Linked DNA regions of Callithrix jacchus. The protein of the gene in region 1 purifies or fractionates together with the protein of each later gene. This does not show direct contact. Links are inferred from orthologs where the notes say so. Each region holds a gene or a part of one and is shown on either strand. Other genes may lie near its edges.

What was found.
Region 2: the proteins of FYTTD1 (region 1) and DDX39B purify together in Homo sapiens (affinity purification with mass spectrometry; 5 studies listed by BioGRID and IntAct, with this or other methods). This does not show direct contact. The link is inferred for Callithrix jacchus from reciprocal best matches to the Homo sapiens genes FYTTD1 and DDX39B.
Region 3: the proteins of FYTTD1 (region 1) and NXF1 purify together in Homo sapiens (affinity purification with western blotting; 3 studies listed by BioGRID and IntAct, with this or other methods). This does not show direct contact. The link is inferred for Callithrix jacchus from reciprocal best matches to the Homo sapiens genes FYTTD1 and NXF1.

What each region holds. Positions count from the first base shown.
Region 1 is NC_133518.1:81,291,954-81,295,601, reverse strand, and holds part of FYTTD1 (UAP56-interacting factor), read right to left. Parts: intron 243-3,648; coding exon 111-242; intron 1-110. UniProt on the Homo sapiens protein: Required for mRNA export from the nucleus to the cytoplasm. Acts as an adapter that uses the DDX39B/UAP56-NFX1 pathway to ensure efficient mRNA export and delivering to the nuclear pore.
Region 2 is NC_133505.1:39,026,336-39,030,738, reverse strand, and holds the start of DDX39B (spliceosome RNA helicase DDX39B), read left to right. Parts: upstream 1-1,556; 5' UTR 1,557-1,610; exon of another isoform or gene 1,611-1,727; intron 1,728-1,798; exon of another isoform or gene 1,799-2,146; intron 2,147-2,335; exon of another isoform or gene 2,336-2,413; intron 2,414-3,005; 5' UTR 3,006-3,138; coding exon 3,139-3,349; intron 3,350-4,403. UniProt on the Homo sapiens protein: Involved in nuclear export of spliced and unspliced mRNA. Component of the TREX complex which is thought to couple mRNA transcription, processing and nuclear export, and specifically associates with spliced mRNA and not with unspliced pre-mRNA.
Region 3 is NC_133511.1:120,075,147-120,078,471, reverse strand, and holds part of NXF1 (nuclear RNA export factor 1), read left to right. Parts: intron 1-127; coding exon 128-235; intron 236-348; coding exon 349-407; intron 408-514; coding exon 515-630; intron 631-748; coding exon 749-791; intron 792-1,685; coding exon 1,686-1,758; intron 1,759-2,559; coding exon 2,560-2,742; intron 2,743-3,325.

The DNA.
Region 1 (3,648 bases):
AAACACCAAGAGTATTGACGCATTTCCTCCATGTGTTAAGCATATGCTAAAAACTACACTATGAACACAGAAATAACAGCTTTTCATTAAAGCTTACTTTCAAAACATACCAGAATTCTGTTGGATTCCCCATCGTACTCTCATCCTGAATTGCCGGGCACCACTTTGCTGAAGGAGTCTTCTATTTAGTCTTGGAAAATTCTGCTTCTTTCCTTCCTTTCGATTCAATTTGATGATATCATCTATGATAGAGGAAATGCCAATTATTTTCATTTTAACTTAGTCTTTCTTTCTTTCTTTCATTTTCATTTTAACTTAGTCTCGCTTTCTTTCTTTCTTTTTTTTTTTTTAAATAAAGACTGGGTTTCACCATGTTGGTCAGGCTGGTCTTGAACTCCTGACCTCAGGTGATCTGCTCGCCTTGGCCTCCAAACTGCTTGGATTACAGGCGTGAGCCACCACGCCCGGTCTAGTCTCACTTTCTAGCTGATGGATTTTCTATGTTCCTAACTTCTTTTCTACTTTGAAAGCCATTCCACAAGAGGATAATAACAAGAATCAGTCATTTCACAATAGCCCAAAGCAGATCTACCAATTAATGAAGAGTGCTATTAGCCATAGTACTTCTTTACCTGATGAATCTAAATAAGCAAAAGCCTGTTTACAAAAATTATTCCTATTTACTTTCCAAAATCACAGAAGCCTCTATCATTTAAAGATGAACACCTTCTGGCTGGGCATGGTGGCTCTCACCTATAATCCCAGCACTTTGGGAGGCTGAGGTGGGTGGATCATTTGAAGTCAGGAGTTCGAGATCAGCCTGACCAACATGGTGAAACCCTCTCTCTACTAAAAATACAAAAAAGAAAAAAAAATTAGTCGGATATTGTGGTGCATGCCTGCAGTCCCAACTACTTGTGAGGCTGAGGCAGGAGAATTGTTTGAACTTGGGAGGTGTAAGTTACAGTAAGCCGAGATTGTACCACTACACTCCAGCCTACGCGACAGGTGAGGTGACAGAGGGAGAATTTGTCTCAAAAAAAAAAAACAAAAAAAAAGCCCATCTTCCAATATAACTATAGGTAGTCAAAAATTAAACCATTCAACTAAAAGACTAAATTTGGATATTCAGCAAAAAATCAGTTATTGAGCATATACTACATGCAATGAATGTACGTCTCGGGTTGTGCTGTAACTGAAATAAAAGTAAAATACGGTCCCTTTTCTAAATATTTTAGAAGTACTGATGGAAACAGACATGCAAATTGCAAATACAAAATTAAACAAGTGCCATAATAAAGGTATAGTACAAAACAATACTAATGGCTCACCTCCAGTAAAGTACTTCAAGGTTACCTTATTTTTCTTTTTATACTGATCTTTCTATGCTTCATTACTTCCAAACATACTTCCAAACTGCCCCAAGGTAATTCACAAACATCATACTGTTCTAATACCACATGGTATTAGAACAAGGTGAAGATCAGAAAACTAAATGTATTCCAGATTCCCATTTATATGTGGTAAAAGGAGGTTACCAAAAGCCAAAAATACTCATATAAGAAATATCCAGCTGGGCATGGGGGGCTCATGTCTGTAATCCCAGCACTTTGAGAGGTGAGATGGGAGACTGCTTCTGCCAAGAGTTCGAGACCAACCTGGCAACATAGCAAAACCTTCTCTCTACAAATAATTTTTAAAAATTAGCCAGGCATAGTGGTGCATGCCTGTGGTCCCACCTTCTCAAGAGGCTGAGGTGAGAGAATTCCTTGAGCCCAAGCACTCAAGGCTGCAGTGAGCCACAATGATGCCACTGCAGTCCAGCCTAGGCAACAGAGCAAGACTATCTCTCAAAAAAAAAAAGAAGAAAGAACTATCCAAACATTTTCTCCACAGTCATAATTCCAGTATTTGATAAGTGGATACGAAGAAATTGCATACAGTCAACAACTTAATAAAACTCTATGAAACTAATTAAACTCGAATTTTTTTTGTCAGTATAGTCTTTCCAGAAGTCAGAGAAGGAAATATAACTGTAAGATCTTTTGTAATATATTACTATTCTACCTAACCTATCTATAATCTTTAAGACTCTTAATTACACTCAAACACGTATGTACACAAAATCCTACAAATCTCCCCAAAATATTTAGCTGTCTTCATGAAATTAATGTCCAACCACAAAAGAGTTCATCAAAATTAAAGGTACTCAAAAACTTTTGTAAAAAATTAAAAGGTTTCATGAACATCAGATATAAACACGTATCTCAACAAGCATAAAGGGAATTCTCAGGAAGACACTATTTATGAGAGACCACTTTCCTTTAACAAAATGCTACTTACTCTTTATCAAAAGTTTAAAAACTTCAAGCCTTGAGAGTAAACCAAAAAAATGAATTTGGTCTGGAGATCGTTACAAAAAGAGGCAGGCCGGGCACAGTGGCTCATGCCTATAATTCCAGCACTTTGGGAGGCCAAAGTGGGCAGATCACGAGGTCAGGAGATCAAGCTCATCCTGGCCAATATGGTGAAACCCTATCTCTACTAAAATAAAATTTAAAAATTAGCCAGGTGTGGTGGTGTGCGCCTATAGTCGCAGCTACTCAGGAGGCTGAGGCAGGGGAATCACTTGAACCTGGGCGGCGGAGGATGCCATGAGCCAAGATTGTGCCACTGCACTACAGCCTGGGCAACAGAGCAAGACTCTATTTCAAAAAAAAAGAGGCACAAAGTACAATTCTAACAAAGTTAATTTTAAAATACAACTATTATAAAGTCTAAATATAACTAAAAACTAGAATTAGCAAAGCATGTTAAATATAAAATTACATTTCACATTTCAACATTTTACTATCTATATCCTCAAATAAGTCAAATAAGCTACAATGGCCAAGAGCATTCTTTCAATCTAAAAGAAGAAAATGGCTTTCTACTGCCCAATGAGTAGATACATAGGTATCTGAATTAAAAAAAAAATCCTTACAATGAGCTACTTTCAGTTTCTTCCATAGCACCAGGGGAATATACATGGCGATAGGAATAGCAGCAGTAGCATAGCAGTGGGAATAGCAGTAAGTACTACAGTACAGGCATTACCAGTGTTAGTAACAACAGTTCTGACATGTATTCATTTAATTCACAACAATCCTATGAAATAAGTATTGTCGTAACACCCATTTCCAAATTAAGAAATTGAGCCATGAGGCTATTGGTAAACTTGGTACTCTATATGAAATTTATATACACCTGGCAAAGCCATGATTTAAAGCCAAAAATATCAGAGTCTAAGATTAAACATTCACAAAGCATAATAACTGTCTAGGATGGATTATCATTTCTTTCCATTTCTGTAAAATTCTCACCAAAAGAAAGGCATTAGAGGGATTGCTGTATGTTCCTGGAGGAGAGAGATCAAGCTCCGTTTTAGCTCTCCAACAGCACTTCATTTCTACCTCAAAGAGAACTCCTCAGTTTTCTTCACTTGAACGTACTCATCATCAAACAGAATACATGCAAAAAAGCAAATGGAGCCGCGGTGGCTCCGGCCAGTTGTCCTGGCACTTGAGGAGGCGAGGCTATGAGTTCAAGGCCAACCTGAGCAACATAAGAAGCTCTCATTCATGAACAACAACAACAAAAAAGCAAATA
Region 2 (4,403 bases), on another chromosome or scaffold:
CCACTTATTGATACTTGACATTATATTTGTGTTTATGTGTTTTCTTCCCTGTTTTGTAAACACTGTGAGAACAGGGTTATTCACTGCTGTGTCCCCAGATGCTAGGACAGCACATGGCACAGGGTAGACAGTTGGTAAATACTTTTGAATAAATTAAATGATACTTGGGAAAGCAGCCCTTTTATGACACCATTCTTGAATCAGCTACTTCATTTTATTACTGAAGATAAGCTTGCTTCACCAAGGATTTGAACTAATGAGGTAACCCCTAGGTATTTAGTAACCAGATTCTTTGAGCACGGAGGCAGAATACAATAGAGAATTAGAGGTGTTTGCATCCTGGCTGTAACCTCACCAGCCGTACTCCTTGGGACATGTTGCTTTGCCTCTGTCAATGAGATGGGAATAACGGTACTTACTCCTTAGTATTAAATGTGCTAACAGGGAGAAGGCCAAACGTTTGTTATTTATGTTACACAGCAGGACATTATGTCTTATTTTTGTAGCTCCCCATGTCAAAGACGGGGAAGTCAAATGTTTCAAGCAGAAAAAAATCCAGGCTGAACAACGGGACTGTTGGGGCGGGGCCAAAAACTTCTGCTCAAATTAACAGAATTAATGGGCCAAGCGATGTGGCTCACGCCTGTAATCCCAGCACTTTGGGAGGCCGAGGTGGGTGGAACATCTGAGGTCATACATGGGTGAAACCCCATCTCTACTAAAAACACAAACATTTGCTGGGTGTGGAGGCGCCTGTAATTCCAGCTACTCGGGAGGCTGAGGCAGGAGAATCGCTCAAACCCGGCAGGCGGAGTTTGCAGTAAGCCGAGATCGCGCCACTGCACTCTAGCCTGGGCGAAAGAGCAAGACTCCGTCTCAAACCAAAAAACAAAATTAATGAAATGTAGTATAACCCTCAGGCCCTACTATTAACACTTAGGGGAGAATCCAGACCCAGTCTCCCGTTCGGATTCAGAACACCTTCCGGACTCACTGGCCCTAGGGATCAGCTACCTAGGACAGCATCGTTTTGGGAAAATGCCGCCCACCAGCCCCACCACAGGGAAAGAGTCGGACAACACCCACGAGTACGCCAGTTCCCTTAGACTTCCCTCAGCTAGGGCCTGCCGTTTCCTAGTGCGTGCACAGCCGCCCTCAGGTCACCTTCACTACAGGGCCAAGGACCCCGTGGGAACTCGCAGGCCTTGCCACTCTCGTTCCTCGCGCGTCCATGGAGGGGTGCCTAGAGAGAAGACCTGCGTGGCAAAAACCTAAACGAAGAGATGAGGGGCATGGAGAAGAGTAGAAAAAGATCAGAAAGATAACAGTGGGAGGAGATGTTAGTTTCCTTTATAACTTTTGTTACTGGCGGTAGCAGGGAAGTTAGAAATGGTTTTAAAACAAATTTCAGACAGGCATTTTCCAAAGGCAAGCCTGGAGCGCGCGGATCCATACAACTGCGGAAGGCCCTGTTTCCGGTCCTTTGCGCCTGCGCTCTTGCAGCCAAGAAGGCGGGAGGCCGCAGTAGAGAGAAGGCTGCAACCGGAAGTGAAGGCAGATTTCCCTCCTTCGTCGCTGTTGCTGCCGCCATACGCGCTCTCCCTGCTTAGGTAAGCTTCGGCCTTCGCTACAATCCGTTTTCATCTGCGCTTCTCCGTACCCATCCCGTCACATGGGTTCCTGATACCCTCTTCACAGGCGCTGGTCTGATCGCTGGGGCCTAGTTGGTTCGTTATTTCTGTAGCCTGCATCCCTTTCGAGAGCAAACTGTTCCTGGGGGGAGGAAGGGTAGCTAAGAGGGGGCCCAATCCAAGATGGTGTCCTCGGCGCCATTGTGTTCGCTTTGCTCCCTTCATCCAGTGGGTTCTTCTCATATTGGAGGCCTCATCATCAATGAGAGGCGGCGCTAGGCGTCCCTTGGTCTTGGTATTTGCGGAGGGCGGGGCTCTTCTCACCTTCCTTGTCTTTTTTTGGGCCCTTTCTCGGCCCACGATGGGGCTGGGAGGAGGAGCCGGTTGGATTTTTCTCACCTCGACTTGCCCAACCTAATCTGGAGTGCCTTCCAAGTGTTTACGATTGGTGTCATTGTATGTTTCTCAGAAAGGAGTCTCACCTTCGTAGCGCAACAGTGATGTGAGACCACTTGGTAAAGATTTTGTCGAAGCCTGGGTGGGGATTGCCTTTCTCTGTCAACTCTTAGCTTATTGTAGGGTGGAGACGTGAAATTTTTTGTTGTTGTTGCTGAGCCATTTGTCTTGCACTGCCCGCCCCATGCTAATTACACAAGGATATCTTAACGGAAGGGAGGGTACTGAGAAGTGGGAGGTGGACGGCGGCCATATGATGTTTTCCTTTCGAAAGGTGAGCGCTTTGCGCAGTGATGACCCTCATCTATCACCCTTGACTGATGGCTGCTGAGTTAGGCATCTGCACGTTGGGATTATAATAGGGAAAGCGCGGTCCTATGAGGATTTTTCGGACTCTGTCATCTCCATTTTCCACTTCTCCAAGTTATTAGTAGTATTTTATCCTTTATTATCTATTTTGTTTCATCCTTGTTACTTTCAGATCAAGAATTTATTTTTTTTTCTTTTTATTTATTTATTTTTAAAGATGGGGTTTCACCATGATGGCCAGGCTGGTCTTGAACTCCTGACCTCAGGTGATCCACCCACCTCGGCCTCCCAAAGGGCTAGGATTACAGGCGTGAGCCACTGCGCCCGGCCCAGATCAAGAATGTATAAGTTGGTCTTCCTGTTCCAACTTTTCTGGTTTCTGCTACTCGGATTGCTAATCTTGTTGGGATCCTGTGTCCTAAGCATTTTCCCTGGGACTGCTTTTTCTATGCTGTTTTATTTGCTTTTCGCTTGTATGTTTTGTATCTGTTTCTCTTTCCAGGTAAAAGTTTCCCAGTTTAGGGGAAGTGGGAACTGGGGATGGAAAAGAGGAGGTGAAGGCTCTGCTTATGACTAAATCTTGCTTTTTTTTTCTCCCCCCCCCTGCAGCTCTTCTTTTAGAAACTAGTATCTTTGCTTTCCTTTGCTGTTCATCAACCCCCTAATTTTCACCCCTTGTTTTCACCTATTTTCCAAGAACCCATCCAGAGCCCCCTTCCCTTTTTCCCCTGCCGGCCCAGTTATGGCAGAGAACGATGTAGACAATGAGCTCTTGGACTATGAAGATGATGAGGTGGAGACAGCAGCTGGGGGAGATGGGGCTGAGGCCCCTGCCAAGAAGGATGTCAAGGGCTCCTATGTCTCCATCCACAGCTCTGGCTTTCGTGACTTCCTGCTCAAGCCAGAGTTGCTCCGGGCCATTGTCGACTGTGGCTTTGAGCATCCATCAGAAGGTAAATTTTCTCTTGGGCATGTATGCTCATTAGGCTCTTTAAGGATGATAAAAAGATGTGTTCATTGTTGCTCAGGTGGTAAAGGTTTATACTTAAGGCTAGATCAGGACCAGTTGCAGTCGCTCATTCCTGTAATCCCAGCACTATGGGAGGCCAAGGTAGGAGAGGGTCAGTTGAGCTCAAGAGTGCAGGAGAAGCCTGGGAAACCTAGGGACTCCTGTCTCTATGAAACGTTCAAAAATTAGCCAGGTGTGGTGGCGTACACATGGAGAGGTATGGCAAGCCAGGGGAGGATTGCTTGGGCCCTGAAGATTGGGGCTGTAGTGAACCATTATTGTACTACAGTACGCCAGCCTGGGTGACAGCAAGGGAAAAAAAATCAGGAGATAAGTATCAAAAACAATTTTGGATATAGGAGGCTTATACAGGTTTATTGTTTCTTTTATGATAGCAACAAAGTGCCAGTGATTCAAGAGTAACTTATAGGTCTGCTCTTCATTCTTGTGACTGGCTTTTCTTCTCCAAGACGGAGTCTTGCTCTTTCGCCAGGCTGGAGTGCAGTGGCATGATCTCAGCTCACTGCACCCTCCATCTCCTGGGTTCAAGTGATTTTCCTTCCTCAGCCTCAAGAGTAGCTGGGACTATAGGCATGCACCACCTTGCCTGGCTGATTTTTTTTTTGTATTTTAGTAGAGATAGATTTCATCATGTTGGCCAGGATGGTCTCAATCTCTTGACTTCATGGTCAGCCCACCTCGGGCTCCCAAAGTGTTGGGATTAAGGCGTGAGCCACCATGGCCGGCCTTGTCTGCTTATTTTTAATTTTGTCACTTCTAATTTTAAATTTCCAGAGAGCTCCTGGTTGGACCTGTAGACCCCCTTTGTTGGGCCAGGCCACCTGTGGTCTCTGGAAGCCTCTGTGACTGGTTTAAAGATGACTGGCTTCTGGGTCAGGTACCAAGTCCTTCATTTCGTTCAGGGTTGCAGTTATGTGATCCAAAGTAGGGCAGTCTAAGTAGGAAAAATGACCTGTGGCAGGTGTTCAAATGTCATG
Region 3 (3,325 bases), on another chromosome or scaffold:
CTCCTAAAGTGGTGGGATTATAGGCATGAGCCACCGTGCTCAGCCACAGCTCACTCTTGGGAGGTACTGGGTCCTGCTGTGGCTCTAGACCACAGAGCCTATGCTTTCTTTTTTGTTTTTCCCACAGGTACTATGCTATTTATGACTCTGGAGACCGGCAAGGGCTCCTAGATGCCTACCATGATGGGGCCTGTTGTTCCCTTAGCATTCCTTTCATTCCTCAAAACCCTGCCCGGTAAGTATCACATCCCAGAATCTGCCTGGTACCACAGGGTTTCCCAGCAGATACAGGGCAGCACTTGCTGCAGCAATGCTCTGACACCGTGTCCTTTCCTCTTATTCCCCCAGAAGCAACTTGGCCGAGTATTTCAAAGATAGCAGAAATGTGAAGAAGCTTAAAGACCCTAGTAAGTGTGTGATGTGAACAAAACAGGATGGGAAAAGGGCATGGGAAGGAATCTATCATAAAACTCAGGAGTATGTGGCAGCCCCACTGAGCTTTCTCTACCCACAGCCTTGCGGTTCCGGCTATTGAAGCACACGCGTCTCAATGTTGTCGCCTTCCTCAACGAATTGCCCAAAACGCAGCACGACGTCAATTCCTTCGTGGTAGACATAAGCGCCCAGACAGTAAGCTCCTGCTTGTGCCCTGACAGAAGCCTAGAATTGGGATGGGGGTGGCATTTAATAGGCATGGTTGGGGTGCGCTCAGAAGTCTACATTGTACCTGATGCTGCTTCTGTTTCAGAGCACACTGCTGTGTTTTTCTGTCAATGGGGTCTTCAAGGAAGGTAAGAATCTTTAAAGTCCTGAGTTTGTAGCATGGTCCCACCCCCAGCTGGAATGTACCTCAGCACTCTTAGCTTCCCAGCTACTTTCTCTCCCATTTCTTTTTCTTTTTCTTTTTTTTTTTGAGACGGAGTTTCGTTATTGTTACCCAGACTGGAGTGCAATGGCACGATCTCGGCTCACTGCAACCTCCACCTCCTGGGTTCAGGCAATTCTCCTGCCTCAGCCTCCCGAGTAGCTGGGACTACAGGCACGCACCACCATACCCAGCTAATTTTTGTATTTTTAGTAGAGACGGGGTTTCACCTCATTGACCAGGATGGTCTCGATCTCTTGACCTCGTGATCCACCCGCCTCAGCCTCCCAAAGTGCTGGGATTGTAGGCGTGAGCCACCACGCCGGCCCCATTTTCTTTTTGAACTCCTTCTCCCATTTTGCCTCCAAGCCATCTTGGCTTGGCCTCCCCTCCGCCTGTCCTGACAGGATATTGGAAAAGCCTGGGGATTAGGAAGACTTTGGAGTCAGGCAGTTCTTAGTTTCCATCCTGGTTTTGGTTGTGTGGGGCCGTGGACAAGTAACATTACCTCTAAGACTTAGGTTATTTATTTGTAAGATGGGTAATAGCCATCTCACAGTGGTGCTATAGAAGTAAAATGAAATAACTTACAAAGTGCTTGGCCTTGGGCCTGGCACACAGATGCTATCAGTGGGTTAGTAGTTATTAGTATTATTGTACTCTCTGCCCAACCCTTCACCCCACCTCTACTTCCCTTATACATTTAATCATCCCTGTCTGGCCCGCTAGTGTTCTTCGTATCAAATAAGACCATGATTCAAGAAGCTGTTTGTAAACCACTAGTGATCCTAAGGTGTCGTTGCTCTTGTTCTCATTGCAGTGGATGGAAAGTCTCGGGATTCTTTGCGAGCCTTCACCCGGACATTCATTGCTGTTCCTGCTACCAATTCAGGGTAAATATTCTGCTTTTCACATTGGATACCAGTCCTAATCCATGGCCAACAGTGTGGTAATTGGAGGGTAGAGTCAGTCTTCGGGGTGCTTTCAGAAAGGCAACAGGAAATTGGGGAAAGCTCACATAGTAGTTAAGAGCTAGGTAGGAGCGCGGCTCTGGAATTGTACTGTTTGGGTTTTCATCCTGGCTCCACCTCTAGCAAGTAGGCTGCTGCCTCATCTGAAAGTTTATATTAACAATATTCACTTCCGGGCCGGGCGCAGTGGCTCAAGCCTATAATCCCAGCACTTTGGGAGGCCGAGGCTGGTGGATCACGAGGTCAAGAGATCGAGACCATCCTGTTCAACCTGGTGAAACCCCATCTCTACTAAAGATACAAAAAATTAGCTGGGCATGGTGGCACGTGCCTGTAATCCCAGCTACTCAGGAGGCTGAGGCAGGAGAATTGCCTGAACCCAGGAGGCGGAGGTTGCGGTGAGCCGAGATCGCGCCATTGCACTCCAGCCTGGGTAACAAGAGCGAAACTCCATCTCAAAAAAAAACAATATTCACTTCCTAAATTTGTTGTGAAGATAAATAAAGGACTAAGAACTGTCCATGTGTTGGGAGAACTCTAGTGTGTTTGGTAGATAATCCTTCCAAACATGGATTCCATGGGAGGAGATAAATGATTAAAGGTAACAATAGCTCAGAGTGGGAGGGGAACCTTGTGAATACTGAAGGAATCTGAGAGTAGGAATGATGTTGGGGGATGACATTATATATCTGTCCAGCTTTTTAAGTGCTCTTTGTCCTCAAGGCTGTGTATTGTAAACGACGAGCTATTTGTGCGGAATGCCAGTTCTGAAGAGATCCAAAGAGCCTTCGCTATGCCCGCACCCACGCCTTCCTCCAGCCCAGTGCCCACCCTCTCTCCAGAGCAGCAGGAAATGTTGCAGGCATTCTCTACCCAGTCTGGCATGAACCTCGAGTGGTCCCAGAAGTGAGTGTTGGGCATATGTATGTAGGGTGGGGATGTACTGAACCAAAGTAGGAGTAGTCGTGACTAATGAGAGCTCCTGACAGGTGGGTTGTTTTTGTTTTTGTTTTTTTTTTAATTAGAGACAAGGTCTTGCTCTGTCACCCAGGCTGGAGTGTAGTGGTGATCATAACGCACTGTAACCTCTAACTCTTGGGCACAAGCTATCCTCTCACCTTAGCCTCCAGAGTAGCTGGAACTACAGGCATGTGCCAGCACACCCAGCTTTTTTATTTTATTTTATTTATTTTTGAGACGGAGTTTTGCTCTTGTTACCCAGGCTGGAGTGCAATGGCGCAATCTCGGCTCACCACAACCTCTGCCTCCTGGGTTCAAGTAATTCTCCTGCCTCAGCCTCCCAAGTAGCTGGGACTACAGGTGCGCGCCACCATGCCCTGTTAATTTTTGTATTTTTAGTAGAGACGGTGTTTCCCTTTGTTGACCAGGATGGTCTCGATCTCTTGACCTCGTGATCCACTGCCTTGGCCTCCCAAAGTGCTGGGATTATAGGCGTGAGCCGCCACGCCTGGCCTATTTTATTTTTTTT